3 linked regions of the Arabidopsis thaliana genome follow. The protein of the gene in region 1 interacts with the protein of each later gene in a pairwise test. Each region holds a gene or a part of one and is shown in the gene's direction. Other genes may lie near its edges.

What was found. Proteins that work in one complex are often made in the same cells at the same time.
Region 2: the proteins of AN (region 1) and TDP1 interact in a two-hybrid assay, tested with the Arabidopsis thaliana proteins (one large-scale study listed by BioGRID).
Region 3: the proteins of AN (region 1) and WAVH2 interact in a two-hybrid assay, tested with the Arabidopsis thaliana proteins (one large-scale study listed by BioGRID).

Annotation. Positions count from the first base shown.
Region 1 is NC_003070.9:185,597-190,985, forward strand, and holds AN (NAD(P)-binding Rossmann-fold superfamily protein), read left to right. Parts: upstream 1-1,548; 5' UTR 1,549-1,638; coding exon 1,639-2,226; intron 2,227-2,414; coding exon 2,415-2,580; intron 2,581-2,687; coding exon 2,688-2,818; intron 2,819-2,932; coding exon 2,933-3,724; intron 3,725-3,820; coding exon 3,821-3,868; intron 3,869-3,965; coding exon 3,966-4,079; intron 4,080-4,168; coding exon 4,169-4,240; 3' UTR 4,241-4,876; downstream 4,877-5,389. Other genes in the region: AT1G01500 (Erythronate-4-phosphate dehydrogenase family protein), read left to right, coding at 1-413, 744-977; ASG4 (Homeodomain-like superfamily protein), read left to right, coding at 5,000-5,232, 5,345-5,389. UniProt on the Arabidopsis thaliana protein: Involved in controlling the equilibrium between tubular and stacked structures in the Golgi complex. Required for cortical microtubules (MTs) arrangement that confers cell shape.
Region 2 is NC_003076.8:4,925,347-4,931,518, reverse strand, and holds TDP1 (tyrosyl-DNA phosphodiesterase-like protein), read left to right. Parts: upstream 1-2,016; 5' UTR 2,017-2,211; coding exon 2,212-2,226; intron 2,227-2,310; coding exon 2,311-2,490; intron 2,491-2,572; coding exon 2,573-2,743; intron 2,744-2,826; coding exon 2,827-2,964; intron 2,965-3,042; coding exon 3,043-3,103; intron 3,104-3,239; coding exon 3,240-3,316; intron 3,317-3,400; coding exon 3,401-3,751; intron 3,752-3,829; coding exon 3,830-3,964; intron 3,965-4,045; coding exon 4,046-4,195; intron 4,196-4,274; coding exon 4,275-4,378; intron 4,379-4,454; coding exon 4,455-4,508; intron 4,509-4,586; coding exon 4,587-4,677; intron 4,678-4,763; coding exon 4,764-4,847; intron 4,848-4,928; coding exon 4,929-5,067; intron 5,068-5,151; coding exon 5,152-5,219; 3' UTR 5,220-5,669; downstream 5,670-6,172. Other genes in the region: AT5G15180 (Peroxidase superfamily protein), read right to left, coding at 1-134, 458-643, 728-958. UniProt on the Arabidopsis thaliana protein: DNA repair enzyme that can remove a variety of covalent adducts from DNA through hydrolysis of a 3'-phosphodiester bond, giving rise to DNA with a free 3' phosphate.
Region 3 is NC_003076.8:26,259,309-26,264,673, forward strand, and holds WAVH2 (Zinc finger (C3HC4-type RING finger) family protein), read left to right. Parts: upstream 1-1,827; 5' UTR 1,828-2,163; coding exon 2,164-2,565; intron 2,566-2,644; coding exon 2,645-4,396; 3' UTR 4,397-4,862; downstream 4,863-5,365. UniProt on the Arabidopsis thaliana protein: Probable E3 ubiquitin-protein ligase involved in the regulation of root growth. Acts as a positive regulator of root gravitropism.

The DNA of each region.
Region 1 (5,389 bases):
CCGTTCGCGTTACCGGATGCGTTGATTTCGAGGTTTATGATAACGAGGATATGGTCTTGTGTGGGAACCTAGATAGAATCGAAGGTGCTTGGAACAATGGAACTGTGAGTGATCCCAAGACTGGATGGGGCATGGATTGTTACATTGCTATGGGAAACGGACACGTGTCAGGTCCTTCTGCCTCTGTGTTTTTCCAGCCAAAGTTTGGAGTCTCGTCTCCGTCCGTCGAGGTTTATATAGCTGGTTGTTGTGGTGGTGTCCCGGTGATATTGACCAAGACGATTCAGGCGAGTCCGAGGAGGAAGGTGGCTAGGCACGTGACACTCGACGCTATCCCTGAGGATGAGGAAGTTGGCAAAGAGCAAGACATTGGTACCATTGGTGATGAATTGGCCCGTCAAAGCAAAGTACAGGTATGATTCTGATTTCACAATTCTCTGTTTGGTGATTGTCCAAGCCCTTAAGTTACGATTCTTAATAACTTGGGATTGAGATTTGAAAAGGTTGCTTCTTTCGTCTAGTTTTGTGAGTTATGAATGCTGTAGCAGATATTTAGTTATTAAGATCACTCGCAAGTTTCTGGTGAATTTAGCTCCTGCTTGAATGTTTTCTTTGACTCTACAGCTGAATTTGAAAATTGTAGAATTGTTGACTGATCAGAAATTGAGATATGGATATAGGTCAATAGACTCTCTTTGCACTTTTTTTGGTGCTTTATCTTGTTTGTCGTTTCGTTTATGCAGATGATGGAATCAGAAGTTGATGAATACGATGACTCAGATATGAAAATGGCACAGAGATATTACCCTGAAGGAATGTACGTTGATGAGGATGGTCAGCTCTCATGGTTCAATGCAGGAGTCAGAGTCGGAGTTGGGATAGGCCTTGGGATGTGTCTTGGTGTAGGCATTGGAGTTGGATTACTCATGCGTTCGTATCAAGCAACAACTAGTAACCTTCGTAGGAGGTTTCTCTGATCATCACCTACCATAAACTAAAAACCCACTTAGACATTTCGAGATCTACTAAGAATGTCGGTAACGTAGTGGGTTATAAAAGAGATAGAATTTTGGTAGATAGATGTATAGAGCTTTTGGTTTTCACCTGTTTGTGTCCTTTTGAATATATATATATATTCGGCTCTGTTCATATACTTTAGTAGCACAAAAGAGAGTTCCCATCTTGCTCCAGTCATGTTCTTTTGTTCTTTCTTTTCTCAAGTCTGTCTATGTCGTTGCTCTTGTGTAGAAAGAGATTTCGTGTTATTGTTGTTGTTGTCAAACGCTGGAGTTTGTCTTTCGGTTTCTGGTCAGGAAATAATGTGGAATAGGGAATGTACATGTTTCACCTGTATTCAGTATCTGTTTGCAATTAGTAAATTAAATTATTACAACAAGCCAAGTGGAAGACGGCGTCGTTTATCATAAATGTCAAACCGATGACGTCTTATCGGGGGAGCATGAGCATTGGACTAAAAAATTATTGTCAATTTGTTTAAATTGTATTTTGGGCCCTGAAAATTATTATAAATGAAATTTAGCCCCTTAATTTTGTAAGAGTTTACAACATTGAACCCTAAATCATTATGTTCCCAAAATCAAAATTTCACTCCTCGAGAGTAGCGAGAAGAAGGAGGAGATGAGCAAGATCCGTTCGTCTGCGACAATGCCACATCGCGACCAGCCGTCACCGGCGTCGCCTCACGTCGTTACACTCAACTGTATAGAGGATTGTGCGCTCGAGCAAGACTCCCTCGCCGGCGTTGCTGGTGTCGAATACGTCCCGCTCAGCCGCATCGCCGATGGTAAGATCGAGTCCGCCACCGCCGTTCTCCTCCATTCCCTCGCGTATCTTCCACGAGCAGCTCAACGCCGACTCCGTCCTCACCAGCTCATTCTCTGCCTTGGCTCTGCTGATCGCGCTGTCGATTCGACTCTCGCCGCCGACCTAGGTCTCCGACTTGTCCATGTAGATACTTCACGAGCCGAGGAAATCGCGGATACCGTCATGGCGCTCATCCTTGGACTCCTTCGACGGACGCATTTACTCTCGCGACACGCTCTATCGGCGTCTGGTTGGCTCGGATCGCTTCAGCCTCTTTGCCGGGGAATGAGACGGTGCCGTGGTATGGTTTTGGGTATCGTTGGCAGATCTGTATCGGCTCGGTATTTAGCTAGTAGAAGCTTGGCTTTCAAGATGAGTGTGCTCTACTTCGATGTCCCAGAGGTATGTTTGTTGGCAATGTCTCGCTAAGCTTTTAATATCTTAGTGTAAACTGACTCTTTAGGGACCAAAAAAAGTGCTGAGTTCTTAGCTACTACATTCCTAAACTGCTTACTATGATGGCTCTCTTTCAAGTTCCTCTCCCTTGGATGTTATATTTGTTGTCAATAGTTGCGTTTGCGTCTGTTCAGGGAGATGAAGAACGAATCAGGCCCTCGAGATTCCCACGTGCTGCTCGAAGAATGGATACATTGAATGATCTTCTAGCAGCAAGTGATGTCATTTCGCTACATTGTGCATTAACAAATGACACGGTTCAGATACTCAATGCAGAGTGTTTGCAGCATATAAAACCTGGTATGAGTTTTCTTGTCAAATGAAATTTGATTCTCCATGAATGTGAATTGAAGATGAACTTCTGCTTTCTCGCATTCCCTTCAATTCTGGTTGATTTTATGTATTAGGGGCTTTTCTTGTAAATACTGGAAGCTGCCAGCTGTTGGATGATTGTGCTGTGAAACAACTTCTAATTGATGGCACTATAGCTGGCTGCGCCCTTGACGGTGCTGAAGGTCCACAATGGATGGAAGCATGGGTATGACTTTCTTTTCCAGTGACTAAACTTCACATTTGCGCCTGCCTATTCTCTTGTTTCATCATCTTCTTCTGTTGTTTATCCTGCATCCATTATATCTTGTTTTCATTGCAGGTGAAGGAAATGCCAAATGTGTTAATTCTACCTCGCAGTGCAGATTACAGTGAGGAAGTATGGATGGAGATAAGGGAGAAGGCTATCTCTATCTTGCATTCATTTTTCTTAGATGGTGTAATTCCAAGTAACACTGTTTCTGATGAGGAAGTTGAGGAAAGTGAAGCAAGTGAAGAAGAAGAACAATCACCTAGCAAACACGAGAAATTAGCAATAGTGGAATCCACCAGTAGGCAACAGGGAGAAAGTACTCTCACCAGCACTGAGATCGTACGTAGAGAGGCTAGTGAGTTAAAAGAATCTCTGAGCCCTGGTCAGCAACACGTTTCTCAAAATACTGCCGTAAAACCTGAAGGAAGACGTAGCAGATCCGGTAAGAAAGCCAAAAAGAGACATTCACAGCAAAAATACATGCAAAAAACGGATGGTTCCTCAGGGTTAAATGAAGAAAGTACTTCACGAAGAGATGATATTGCTATGAGTGACACAGAAGAAGTATTAAGTTCCAGTTCTAGATGTGCTTCTCCTGAAGATTCCAGAAGTAGGAAAACACCTCTTGAAGTAATGCAAGAGTCTTCCCCAAATCAGCTTGTAATGTCAAGTAAGAAGTTCATTGGAAAGTCAAGTGAGCTACTGAAAGATGGATATGTAGTAGCCTTGTATGCGAAAGACCTCTCGGGCCTCCACGTTTCCAGGCAAAGAACGAAAAACGGTGGCTGGTTCCTCGATACTTTGTCCAATGTATCCAAACGAGATCCTGCTGCACAATTCATTATCGCATACAGAAACAAGGTAAACCTTTTTCTCTCTCTTACTTTTCATTTATCTTGCTTACAATGCCAGATAGACCATTATAAATTGGTTTTGGTGCATGAACTTGTTTTCCAGGACACTGTTGGTCTGAGATCATTTGCTGCTGGTGGGAAGTTACTGCAGGTAGCTCTTACATTAGAGAGTGTTACTTCCATTGGTAACTCAATGTTGCTCTTATGGAATCTAAAAGTGGTTGTGTCATGGGTGTGTGTGTGTGCAGATCAATAGAAGAATGGAGTTTGTGTTTGCTAGCCATAGTTTTGACGTGTGGGAGAGTTGGAGTCTAGAAGGTTCTCTGGACGAATGTCGGCTTGTTAACTGCAGGAATTCCTCTGTAAGTCTCTGTCCTTACAGAAAATGGCCCGAAATTGAAAAACCCTACTTCTTGGAAAACAGAAATAATTTGTGTAATGAATGTTGCAGGCGGTGTTGGACGTTCGTGTGGAGATATTGGCAATGGTAGGAGACGATGGTATCACACGTTGGATCGATTAAAAAGAAAAACAGAGTCTCTCCATTTGTGAGTTTCTCTCTTTTAATTACTTTTGTTACTTTAACATCCTTAGGATTCACAGACGAAAAACAGAGACACCCAATTTTTGTGTTTCGAGACTGTGTCGTGTGTTGTGTAGTTGGTATCAACCAACTTATATCTGTAATCATTGTTTCTTTTTATTTATTCTCGGTTTGCAGAAACATCCGATGAGCTTGTCTTAGAGGGACGTTTGTTGTTGTTTTCTGGGTCTGGTCGTGATGAACTCGAAAGCATTGTGTGTTTGGTTAGTAGTTTGAAATAGGTGTGTGTATTGTATTTGTATATGCTGCGTTTGTGTTTTAGAGATCATCGTACATAAAACACATCATCGTACATAACTAAAATTTGAGCTAAACTACAAAAGAAAGTAACCTTCATTTTTAGTCGAACCAGGCCCCAGCTAGGCAGCTATCTCGTAAATAAGATTGCTGGCTTACGATCGTATTCCACGTGGCAATTTATGTGCCGTGGATTTAAATTTGTACGTGGCATGAGTGTTAGGAGAATGTCCACATGGCTTGTAGTTGTTAGTCCCACGCTCTGAACCAGAGCAACCGGCTCCTTACACGTGTTCGGCTTAAATCCATTTTTCGAATGAGATTACACTTCTAACCTTGTCTCCCTCTCCCGCTTATACCACCACCACTCTCACACAAGTCTCTCAAGTCACAAACTCTGTTTCAAACCAAAAGGGAACTTTGTGTGTGTTGTCGAGTTTTATGGTGACTGTAAACCCTAGCCAAGCTCATTGTTTGCCTATGAAAATGAGTCTACCGGGTTTCAATACTCTTCCCCACACGGCAACAACGATACCGGTTTCCATACGGAGCAATAGGACGATGTCGTTTTTTGAGGATCCAACAAAGAAGGTTAGAAAGCCTTACACTATCACCAAATCTAGAGAGAACTGGACGGAGCAAGAACACGACAAGTTCCTTGAAGCCCTTCATCTGTATGTTGACACGGATTTCACTTCTCTGCCTTCATTTATCTGATTAATGATATATAGAATCTTTGAGATTTGTTCTTCTTCTTCTGATATGATCATGTCTATTTGATTGCAGATTTGACCGGGATTGGAAGAAAATAAAGGCCTTTGTTGGATCAAA
Region 2 (6,172 bases), on another chromosome or scaffold:
CCTTTGGACTGGAATTGAGTGATAAGGCTACTGATATTATTAAATGGTGATGGTAAGTTTAATAAGGCCTCAGTGATGTTTGTAACCAGACCGTCTCTTCGTCCCGTTTCAACCTCCCACGACGGTCCATTGAGCTGAACATATATTGATTGGTTATCATAAAATACATGATGTTAAAAGTTCAACACAACATATAATACATAATTTTTTTTATGGATATATTTTCTTTAATATATTAGTCAGAAAATCTCAGATAGAAAGCTGAACTAGTCTCTTGAAAATTTAAGTCAAGTGCATTTTGTAGCATCAAAAAAATAGAAGAATACGCCCAACCCTATTTATGATGTCTATAATCGCCATGTGAACTTTGTAGTAATAAATACAAGGAGCGTGTAATAAAGACACCGTGAGCTCTGACCAAATATTAGATCACATGATAGTAAGAATTTATACTTACCGCAACCATTGCGTCTCTAGCGACAAGAGCCAATACATCAGAGCAAGAAACAATGCCCGGACACTCCTTTTCTAGAGCTGCCTTGACATTGTCTATGATCTCAAATCCTCGAAGGGTGAGGTTAGGAATTGAGTTTTTCTCATCTTTTTTGTTCTTTAGCTCTAGCAATACCGACCCTTCGCATCCCTAAAACATCATGATTCAATCATTAGATCACAAGGTGTCAAAAAGACTAAAAGGAAAATTCAGGATGTCAAGAAAGGACATTACCCTAACGAAGCAATCGTGGAAGAACATCCTGAGCAAAGGAGCTGCAATTGTCCGATCATTCTTCACAGCCTCGAAGACAGACTTTTTGACAATAAGCTCGGCTTTGGGGCATGCCTTGTCGTAGAATCCAACTTTCAATCCTTGCACATTTGTTGGAGCAAATGAAGAGAGCAAGCAATATATTACTTGAAGAAACAAGAAACAAGAGATAGTCATCTTCAAAGCAGCCATATTATTATTAGCTCCTCTTTTTGACAGATGATCGATGATACTAATTGAGTTAATATTGTTGTTGTTATTTATACTAACGTGCTTATGTAATAATGTCACGGAACTTGTTAGTACTATAGTTTAAGGTTGAAATACAAAAATACAAAGTGTTCGTGGTTACATCATTGAATTTTAAAGACAAAGATATAGGAATTTTTTGTAAATTTGTTGAATTTTATATTGTTGTTTGTGGAATATATATAGCTGTCCTTTGTTTATGGCTTATCGTCTTCGTTGATGTTTATTACTATTTACACCAGAAAAAGGGTGCCAATGATTTTAAACAATGAAAAAAATAACCAACACAAACTTAATAAGTTTTTGAAATTTGGCAATATTCAGATCTTTTCGTCAACTAGGTGTTGTAACGAATAAGAAAACACTTGATAACGAATAATGGTAATTTGTCGATAACTAACTTGAAATCGACAAGTAAACCACAAGAAAAAACTATATTATACGTATAACAATTAGAATGGAACACAAGCCGTCCATAGCTATCTAATTTACACGTAGACAATGACTGGTAGGTAGGAGGATTAACAATGAACAATATTGCTTGTGACATTTGACTTCGCAACTGAAAAGTGACAATAATACGGTAGGAGAACAAAATAATACATCTTAAAAATTTGATTAACATAATATAATCAATATCCTTTATCTTACAAACTCTTTGGAGTTAAACTACATTGTTTAATCTTTGGACTTGATCACAATTATTTTGTCCACGTAACAATCTGCATGTTCATCCAATTCCAATCACACTCATTCGAATATTCGATTGTAACATTTCAACGTAATGGGAAGATAAAATATGTTAATCATACTATTATTTTTGGGCAAGGTTCGGACACGTGTCAATTGAAAAAAATGAAGAAAAAAAAATGTCTGAGCCCGGGTTCGAACCGGGGACCTCTAGTGTGTGAGACTAGCGTGATAACCGACTACACCACCCAGACTTTGATGACAATGTTTCTTAAATTAATATATTGTACAACTTCACAAGCCAAAGACCCATCGGCTGATGATGATGCGGTTGTCTGATTGTCGCCGCCGGCGTGGAGAACCGTTACCGTTACTATGAATTTCTTGCCCATTATTCTCCATTGAAACATCCCAAAATTTTCGCTAGTTAGTTCACTGAAACGCAGCGTTTTGCATCTTCTTCTTCTTCCTTGGTTCAATTCAACCTCAGACACTTGTCTTCCTTAATGGCTCACTCTCAGGTAATTCAAAACAAAACCCTAATTTCCGTTTCTTCCAATTACAGAAAATTCGATGTCTTGCTCTGATTTATGTATCTGTTGCAGGTTGCTTATTTGATTCCATTGAAAGCAGATTTAAAGGAAGACAATTCATCTCCAAGGATAACTTTATCCGAAGGTCCAAACATCATTGGCCGTGGCAACGTTTCAATCGTCGATAAGCGTCTCAGTCGCAAACACATCACCATTATCGTTTCCACTTCTGGCTCAGCTTCGTTGTCAGTGGTAATAACTATAACAACATTAAAAATTATAACTTTGGCTTCTTATCGAATTGAATCATGTCAAGTTTGTGTCTTTTGGGTAGGACGGAACAAATCCGGTTGTTATTAGGTCTTCCGGTGACGGAGAGAGAAAGAAAGTGAAACCTAGTGAAGAGGTTTCAGTATGTAATGATGATCTTATTGAATTGATCCCTGGTCACCATTTCTTCAAGCTAGTTTTGCTCAATGGAAGAGCTGCTAAGAAAGCTCGAAAGGTAACTTATTTGGCTTAACCAAAGAATGTTGCTTTTTTTGTTGTTTCTTTGAGGCTTTGTTTGATGTGATGGAACTGTTTTAGGCTGAAGACGATGTAGAGGCCATTCGTCGTTTTTGTCCACCTAATGAGAAACTACCTTCAACATTTCGGCTTTTGAGTGTTGATGCATTGCCTGATTGGGCTAATACTTCTTGTGTTTCCATTAATGATGTCATTGAGGTTAGTCTCATGCTAAGCATATTATTTCATTTGTTTTGTTCAGATATCATTGCTAAAGATTGTATTTGTAAATGACAGGGAGACGTTGTTGCTGCGATCTTATCGAATTATATGGTTGATATAGACTGGTTGATGTCAGGTGAGTTTTCTCATAATCTTCTGTGTTGAGTTTGTCCAAATGATTAGTTCTTTTGTTTACATTCATGGGGGTGTTGTTTTTCGATTTTCTCGAGTCTGTTAGCTGAAGTTGGTAATTTGCATATATCCTTTTGTAGCTTGCCCAAAACTGGCCAACATTCCCCAGGTTATGGTTATTCATGGAGAAGGTGATGGTAGGCAAGAGTATATTCAGGTTTGTTATGACAGTTTTTGCTCATTTCTTTTGATTGATGTTTATGGTAGACTAAAAATCTCCAATATTTGTTTTGTTTAACAGAGGAAGAAGCCAGCTAATTGGATTCTTCATAAGCCTCGGTTACCTATTTCATTCGGGACACACCATTCGAAGGCTATATTTCTTGTCTATCCTCGAGGGGTGAGAGTTGTAGTACACACCGCGAATCTGATCCATGTTGATTGGAATAACAAAAGCCAAGGTTTGTGGATGCAAGATTTTCCTTGGAAAGATGATGACAAAGATCCACCTAAAGGTTGTGGATTCGAAGGTGATCTCATTGATTACCTCAATGTTCTTAAGTGGCCTGAGTTTACTGCAAACTTACCTGGCCGTGGTAATGTCAAGATCAATGCAGCCTTCTTCAAAAAGTTTGATTATTCTGATGCTACGGTACTTTCTATTTCTCTAAACTCTTTTGGTTGATTTATATACTTATTTGTGTACTAATAATATGCAACAAATTTTAAGGTTCGACTAATTGCTTCAGTCCCTGGATACCACACTGGTTTTAACTTGAACAAATGGGGACACATGAAGCTACGGACTATTCTTCAAGAATGCATTTTCGATAGAGAGTTCCGCAGATCCCCGCTAATCTATCAGGTAATGTTCCATTCCAAGTTCTCTTTTTGCAATTGTATTACTTGTAAAAAAGTCTTCTTCTATAATTATTCCGTATTGCAGTTTTCTTCACTTGGTTCTTTAGACGAGAAGTGGTTGGCTGAGTTTGGAAATTCTTTGTCTTCTGGTATAACAGAGGACAAAACTCCTCTCGGTCCCGGGGATTCGTTGATAATATGGCCTACAGTAGAAGACGTCAGATGTTCTTTAGAGGTTATCCGCACAATGATTACATCTTTTCTTATATAGATTATTGATTTTTCTTCTGAACCGTGAAATCTTCAAACCAAAGGGTTATGCTGCTGGCAATGCAATTCCGAGCCCATTGAAGAACGTGGAGAAACCATTCTTGAAAAAGTATTGGGCTAGATGGAAAGCGGATCATAGCGCTCGCGGGTAATTTAGAAAAACCAAACCTTTACAAATCCAACTTATGAGTACTACTCAATTCTGATCCTTTTTAATGTAACAGTCGTGCCATGCCACATATAAAGACGTTCACACGTTACAACGACCAGAAGATTGCGTAAAGTTCATCAAGTCTCAATCTGTAGTTGCTCTGTTAGTACCTTTTGTGATTAATGTTCTTGTTTTGCTTCCACAGATGGTTCTTACTAACCTCATCGAATCTTAGCAAAGCGGCCTGGGGAGCACTTCAGAAGAACAATTCACAGTTGATGATTCGTTCCTACGAGGTAAAATTCCAAAACCTGTGTTTTCATGTATCAAAGTCTGATCTTTGTAACCACTAACTACATTCCATTGACTGTAATATTGTTAGTTGGGCGTCTTGTTTTTACCATCTCCAATAAAAACACAGGGTTGTGTATTTTCGTGCACTGAGAGCAACCCGAGTGTTATGAAGGTAAGAAGATCTAAAATTCCAAAACCTGTAAACCCGGACACAAACTGTGATCTTTCCCTCTTAATTGTGCTTTGTCAACAGGCAAAACAAGAGACGAAAGACGAGGTAGAGAAGAGGAGTAAGCTAGTGACAATGACCTGGCAAGGAGACCGAGATTTGCCTGAGATAATCTCATTACCAGTTCCTTATCAACTACCTCCTAAGCCATACTCACCCGAAGGTATTTTCCCTATTCATTATCCAGCAAATATAACTTCTTTCTTTCTCAAGTTATTAACGTTTTTACTGGCATTGTGATTTTCAGATGTTCCATGGTCATGGGACCGAGGCTACTCGAAGAAAGATGTGTATGGACAAGTCTGGCCAAGATAGTTGATGATAGCTTTAGTAGCTCTATGACTTGAGACTTGAGAGAGTGGCTTTATGGGTTTTACTCACTCAGATATTGAAGACTTTATAATCTTTAATTTAATGCTAAGCGATGAACAACCAGACGGATAAACAAAAATTAGTGTGAAACTGATTGAAGTCTGTGGATTAATCCGGATTAGTCCACCAATGGATAGGATTAGTATTGATAAAGTTCTTTTAATTTTTAGTATGTGAAAGAAAATTGACCTGTCGGCTTCAGTCTGCCGTACCAACGAGGTTGAAAGGTTAAAAATCTCGTGGGCCAAATAGAGAATTTTACGGGTTGGCTCATTTTTAATTTTGTATATATGTGAAGTCATATTAGGCAAGTGGTTTAATTAGGCAAGTGGCTCATATATATGTTAAAAATTTGTAATTCTTTTGCTTGTTGGCATTTTACTTTTGTCCGAGGAAATTGAATTTGATTAAGCTATCACATGTGTTGAAGAGCATAGTGTAAAGTCCAAACATAATTAGCATAAGTGATAAGTACGAACCACAAACACAAAACAATAGACATAGAAATTGGAGACATAAGGTATTTTTTCATATTATTATGACAGAAGTGTGTCGTTGGTTACAAGAAAGTGAGAAACCTACGATTTTAATTCGAGACAGAAAATCAAGAACGAAAACAAAAATGAAGAAGAAATTTTGGTGGTTTATATTCGATAGACATTTAGAATACAAACAGATGCAGACAAGGATTCACAATCAATGTCTACATTGCCAAGAACACCCGTCCCTCTCTTTGATGATTTGGCCTTTTATCATATCTATCAATTATTTTAAGATAATAACATTCATAAGTTATTTGCTACTAGTTTTTGATATGCAATTTAGTCCTCGAATCTTGAGAAGAGCCAATCACAATTATGATATTGATTAAGAACGATCTTTCTTCTGACCATTCA
Region 3 (5,365 bases), on another chromosome or scaffold:
AGTTTATGCACAGACCAACCAATGATCATTGGCAAGCTGCAAAACGAGTTCTTAGATATTTGGCTGGAACTACGACTCACGACATTTTCTTTGCTGCTCAAAACGAGCTCTCCCTTCATGCCTTTTCAGATGCAGATTGGGCCGGAGACTCAGAAGATTGCGTTTCAACAAATGCTTACATCGTTTACCTCGGGAAAAATCCAATCTCATGGACTGCCAAGAAACAAAAGAGCGTTGCAAGGTCTTCAACAGAAGCTGAATATCGATCGGTGGCAAATACTGCTTGTGAAATCCAGTGGATATGCAGCCTTCTCACGGAGCTTGGGATCACACTTCCCAAACCGCCTGTGGTCTATTGTGATAATGTGGGTGCTACTTTCCTTTGCGCAAACCCGGTTTTCCATTCCAGGATGAAGCACATAGCCATAGACTATCACTTTATTCGTGGACAAGTTCAGCAAGGCATTCTTCGTGTGGCTCACGTCAACACTAGAGACCAACTCGCTGATGCATTAACAAAACCGCTTCCTCGAAATCACTTCACGGAACTTCGAGACAAGATTGGAGTGTGCATAGCCCCTCCATCTTGAGGGGGCGTGTTAAGGATACATAGGATCATCTCTCTTTAATATCATAATATTCCTCTGTCTCCTTTATGGAACATTCTATATTTGTACAACCCTAGTGTAACCTCCTCTGTACTTGTATATATACTTGTGTAAAGCTATTCGTATAATATAAGTCATTACATTCTTAACAAGATTAACTAACTAATATTTTCATTTTTTGGTTGATAATCAATGATTCCATGGCATGCACGCACGAAGTCATGTGTTGTCTCTACAATGGCAGCCACTTAAAAAACCTACCAAACCATTTACAAATGCTTAACTACAATTTTGTTTAGCAGCCCCCTTATCATATATGTACCCACCCATTTATTGTTTCATTCATTCATGTGGCTCTTCAGCATAACTGCAAGATACTAGAGGCCACAAATTGCAGTAATTTGTATTTTGGAGTTAATACCTTTGATTTAGGACACTAATTATCTCGAGCACTTGATCAGCCAATCTAAAAGGTTGTCAAATCAAAATAATAGAAGTGTCGAAATCAAAATCAGACCAAAACCATCAATTTTTTTGCAATAGCAAGAAGAATTCAAAATTTGCTGGACCTGGACCAGTCTAATCTTTATGTCATATCATTAGCTCTTGTCGTCACCATATATTATAAATCATTTTGTTGGTAAATAAATGAAAAAAAAAAACTTTTCGACCTTTCTCCATCAAAGACCTTTTACAAAATTCCAAACCCAAAACTTTAGGTTAAATTCCTCGCTCCAGCCAGTATGTAATTACGTAAGCAACTATCAATTAAATATACAACTCAATTCACAATCATGAAGATAACTCGAATACAACGTGTTTTAGTATCATTTATATTTCGTAAGGAAAATAAGCTTACCGTTTATTGCTCAGACTGTAACGTCACGTGCCCACATGTTTGACCTTACACTCCATCACAATCTGCATTTCGAAGAATCCGATAAGATTGGAAATGATTTATATAATCGAACCACATTGTGGAACATTCAAGAGGAATCCACATTAGACAATCTAATAAACTGTTTAATATTTTGAAAAGAAAGATTTTACATGCAAATGGAAAACAAAGATCTCCGCGTCTCAAGTTATTTGAAATCTCATTTTGCATATGGTCGGTTATTACCGTTGACTTTTAACTTTATCGTCCATCCCAATGAAACAACACTTGAAATATGTAAAAAAAATAGCAAAATTGACCCAAAAAAAAGAAGGACTTAACGGATCAGTGATTATTTTCTTCGAGGCAAAACAATTACATGCAAATGGAAACAAAAGCCAATTCACACGCATAAAAGTCACAATTTTTACCTTATAATATTCCTACAACTTAAAATAACATAAAAAAAAATGTCTTTATCGAAACATCACTAAAGAAAAAGAAATCTCTCTATAGTCTTTATCTTAGTATTTAATTTCTCCATCTTCCTTATGATCCATTATGCCCAAAGTCCTTCTTCTTCTTCTCTATAATTACTTCCACAAATAGAAGAAGAAGAAGAAGAAGAATAATATAGAAAAAAAGAGAGCTTCTCTTCTTATTTCTTTCTCACAGGAAATGGTGTTTGGTTGGAGAAAAGCGTTTTGCACTTCCGTTTCAAGTAATCAAGATAAACCTCAACAACATTCATCATTACACACTACTGATCCTCCAATTCCCACACCAAGATTCCGATCAAAGTTTGGTTTTTTATCCAACCCTTCAACTCCTCGTCTCCGATCACGCGGCGGAAGCGGCACTGGATGCCGCTCCTCAGCTTCCACATCAGTCACTATCCCATCTCTTCCAACTAGTCCCAAACTCCATTGCAGGACTACGAGCAATGCTACTCCAAGGACTAGTAACAGCTCAAGTCCCAAGTTTTTCTCTAACCCTTCTTCTCCTAAATCATCATCTTCTTCTTCCTCTCAAGGCGGCGGCGGCGTCTCTCTCCTCCGTGCCACGCTTCTTCTCAACAAGGTAGTTACTTTTGATTCAATCAAGTTCTTAATTTGAAAGACATAATCTAAAGCTCCGTTTTGTGTGTGTGTGGATGCAGAGTAATAGTAGTAGATGTGCGATTTGTTTGCAGAGAGTGAATTCAAATCAAAGCAACTCGACGGCGGCAATTTTCACGGCGGAGTGTTCACATTCGTTTCACCTTTCTTGCGTCAATGGATTAGAAGACAAGCGTTGTCCGTTTTGCTCTGCCGCATGGAATCACGCGCCAAAGTCGAATTATCCGGCTGTTAATAATAACTTCGGATCCGACCCGATTAGACGACCCGAGATCCGAGAGATCAAAACGGGGAAGTCACTGAGAGTGTACAACGACGATGAGCCGTTAGCTTATTCGCCGGTTTCTCTTGCTCAGATCAACACTATACATGAATCAGACGAAAACGACGACGTTGAAGATGACGATGACTTCCCCGGATTCTTCCGAGATTCTTCGATTACGTCTGATATGGTTCCTTCAATCTCAGGAAATCTGGAGGTTAAGTTGCTGCCGGAATCTGCCGTTGTGGAAACCGGGAAAAAGAAGGAGACACACGTCGTCATCATGAAACTAAAAGCGTCTCCGTCGCCGTCGTCCATCACCGATGCGATTAAGGCGCGAAGACCATCGATAGATCTGGTAACGGTTCTCGATTTAAGCAACGGCGGTGCTAATTTGCAAACGGTTAAACACGCGATGAGATCGGTGATCTCTCTTCTCCGAGAAATGGATCGTTTATCGATCGTCGTTTTCTCGACGGGGTCAAAACGGTTAATGCCGTTACGACGAATGACGGCGAAAGGAAGACGATCGGCGCGGCGAATGGTCGACGCACTCGGCGGAATGGAAACCACCGGCGGAGTTGGAATGAGCGTTAACGACGCGTTGAAGAAAGCGGTTAAAGTCGTTGAAGATCGGCGGGAGAAGAATCCGTCAACGAGCATCTTTGTTTTATCGGACGGTCAAGATCAACCGGAGGCAGTTTTGAAAGCTAAACTAAACGCAACGCGCATTCCGTTCGTCGTGTCTACCACGCGTTTCTCTCGTCCGGAGATCCCGGTTCATTCCGTTTACATTGCTTCTCCTGGAGCGTTGCTTCACGCGCCGCTACGAGACGCGTTCACCGAAAGAATCGCTTCGTTGCTCAACGTGACTCTCCATAACGTGAAGCTAAATCTCAGTTTGGTCAACGGATCTCATTTGACTGAGATTTCATCGGTTTACTCTTTAACCGGTCGACTCGAGAATTTCGGATCCGGTTCTGTCATCCAAGTCGGAGATTTGTTTGCGGAGGAGGAGAGAGAGTTTCTCGTTGAGCTCAAAGTGCCGACTTCGTCGAGTGGTTCCCACCAAGTAATGTCCGTACAGTCGTCGATCGTTGACCAAATGACACATCAGCCAATGACATGTCCTAAAGAAAAACGATTTTTGATCCCACGGCCACAATCCGTCAGATATGTATCTTCAAGCATCGAACGGCTGAGAAATTTACACTCCATGTGCCGCGCTGTAGCGGATTCACGCCGGCTTATCGAGCGTGAGGATTTATCCGGAGCGTATCAGGTTCTAACGACGGCTCGGTCCAATGCGTCTCATTCGGATGATAGTTTAAGGAGTTTGGAGGTTGAGCTAAATGAACTTAGCCGGATTAAACCGAGAAATAGTATATTAAACCGAACTGAAGATAAACCGGAGCAGCTTACCCCTACTTCGGCTTGGAGAGCCGCCGAGAAATTAGCTAAAGTGGCTATTATGAGGAAGCATTTAAATCGAGTCAGCGATATGCACGGCTTGGAAAACGCCAGATTTTAATTTTAATTTCCCTTTTTTTCGAAAATTCGATTTCAATGATTTTTGAATATATAATGGTACATAATTTATATAAGGAGGATAAGCAATAATTTAGTAAGGTATAAATAATAGAAGTATGATTATTCAGAAAAAGACCCACATAGGTGCATGATAGCGACAAGCAGTAGCCGACGGGTGTGGCCTTTTGTATTGCAGAGAGATTGAGACCCTACATTAGAAGGAATTAATTGGTCTTTTAGCATTTTTATCTTCTTCTTCCTTTTTGTAATCTTCAAAAACTCCAAATTAATGACTGAATAGTTAAAAAAAGTTGTAGATCAAATAAATGAAGTCTGCTTTTTTTGTGTACTATATAGAATTAAAAGTTGAGGTATAGTGGATTAGAGAGTGTGCTTGTAATGCTGGACTTCAAAATCAAAAGTTAAGTTTATATTATCATATGCCGTTTAACTTAAGAGGATCTATAATATATTATATCTTTCCAAATGAATGATCATGATTAGTCATGTGATCATCATTATAGCCTATTTTGTTATAGAAGGCACCGGGTTTGAATGATTTGAATAGTGCGTGGGGATTGTCTTTGTTGGTTGTTGGTGAATGGTTTGGTGGGTGCACCGTGGTAGAAACCAGGTCATGCGCCGTTGCAAAGCTTTCTTCTCGCTTAAATTCATTCATTTTATATCATTAAGACATTTACTAATTATATGTAGCTAGCGCCAAGTTGCAATTTGTTTTGAATGCAATGATTTTGTATACTTTTAAAATGGATGAAATGATTAACTATTGTCAAAGGTCCACTTCTCGATGTGATTCACTAAAATGATCAGTGGCAGAAGAATCTCGAACTATATATATGGTCAAATCATAACTAAAAAAACTAAGCTATTATTTTTTCACAAAAAAAAAAACTAAGCTATCATTCATCACGCAGTTACATATTGCATATGGACAATGTTAATGTCAACT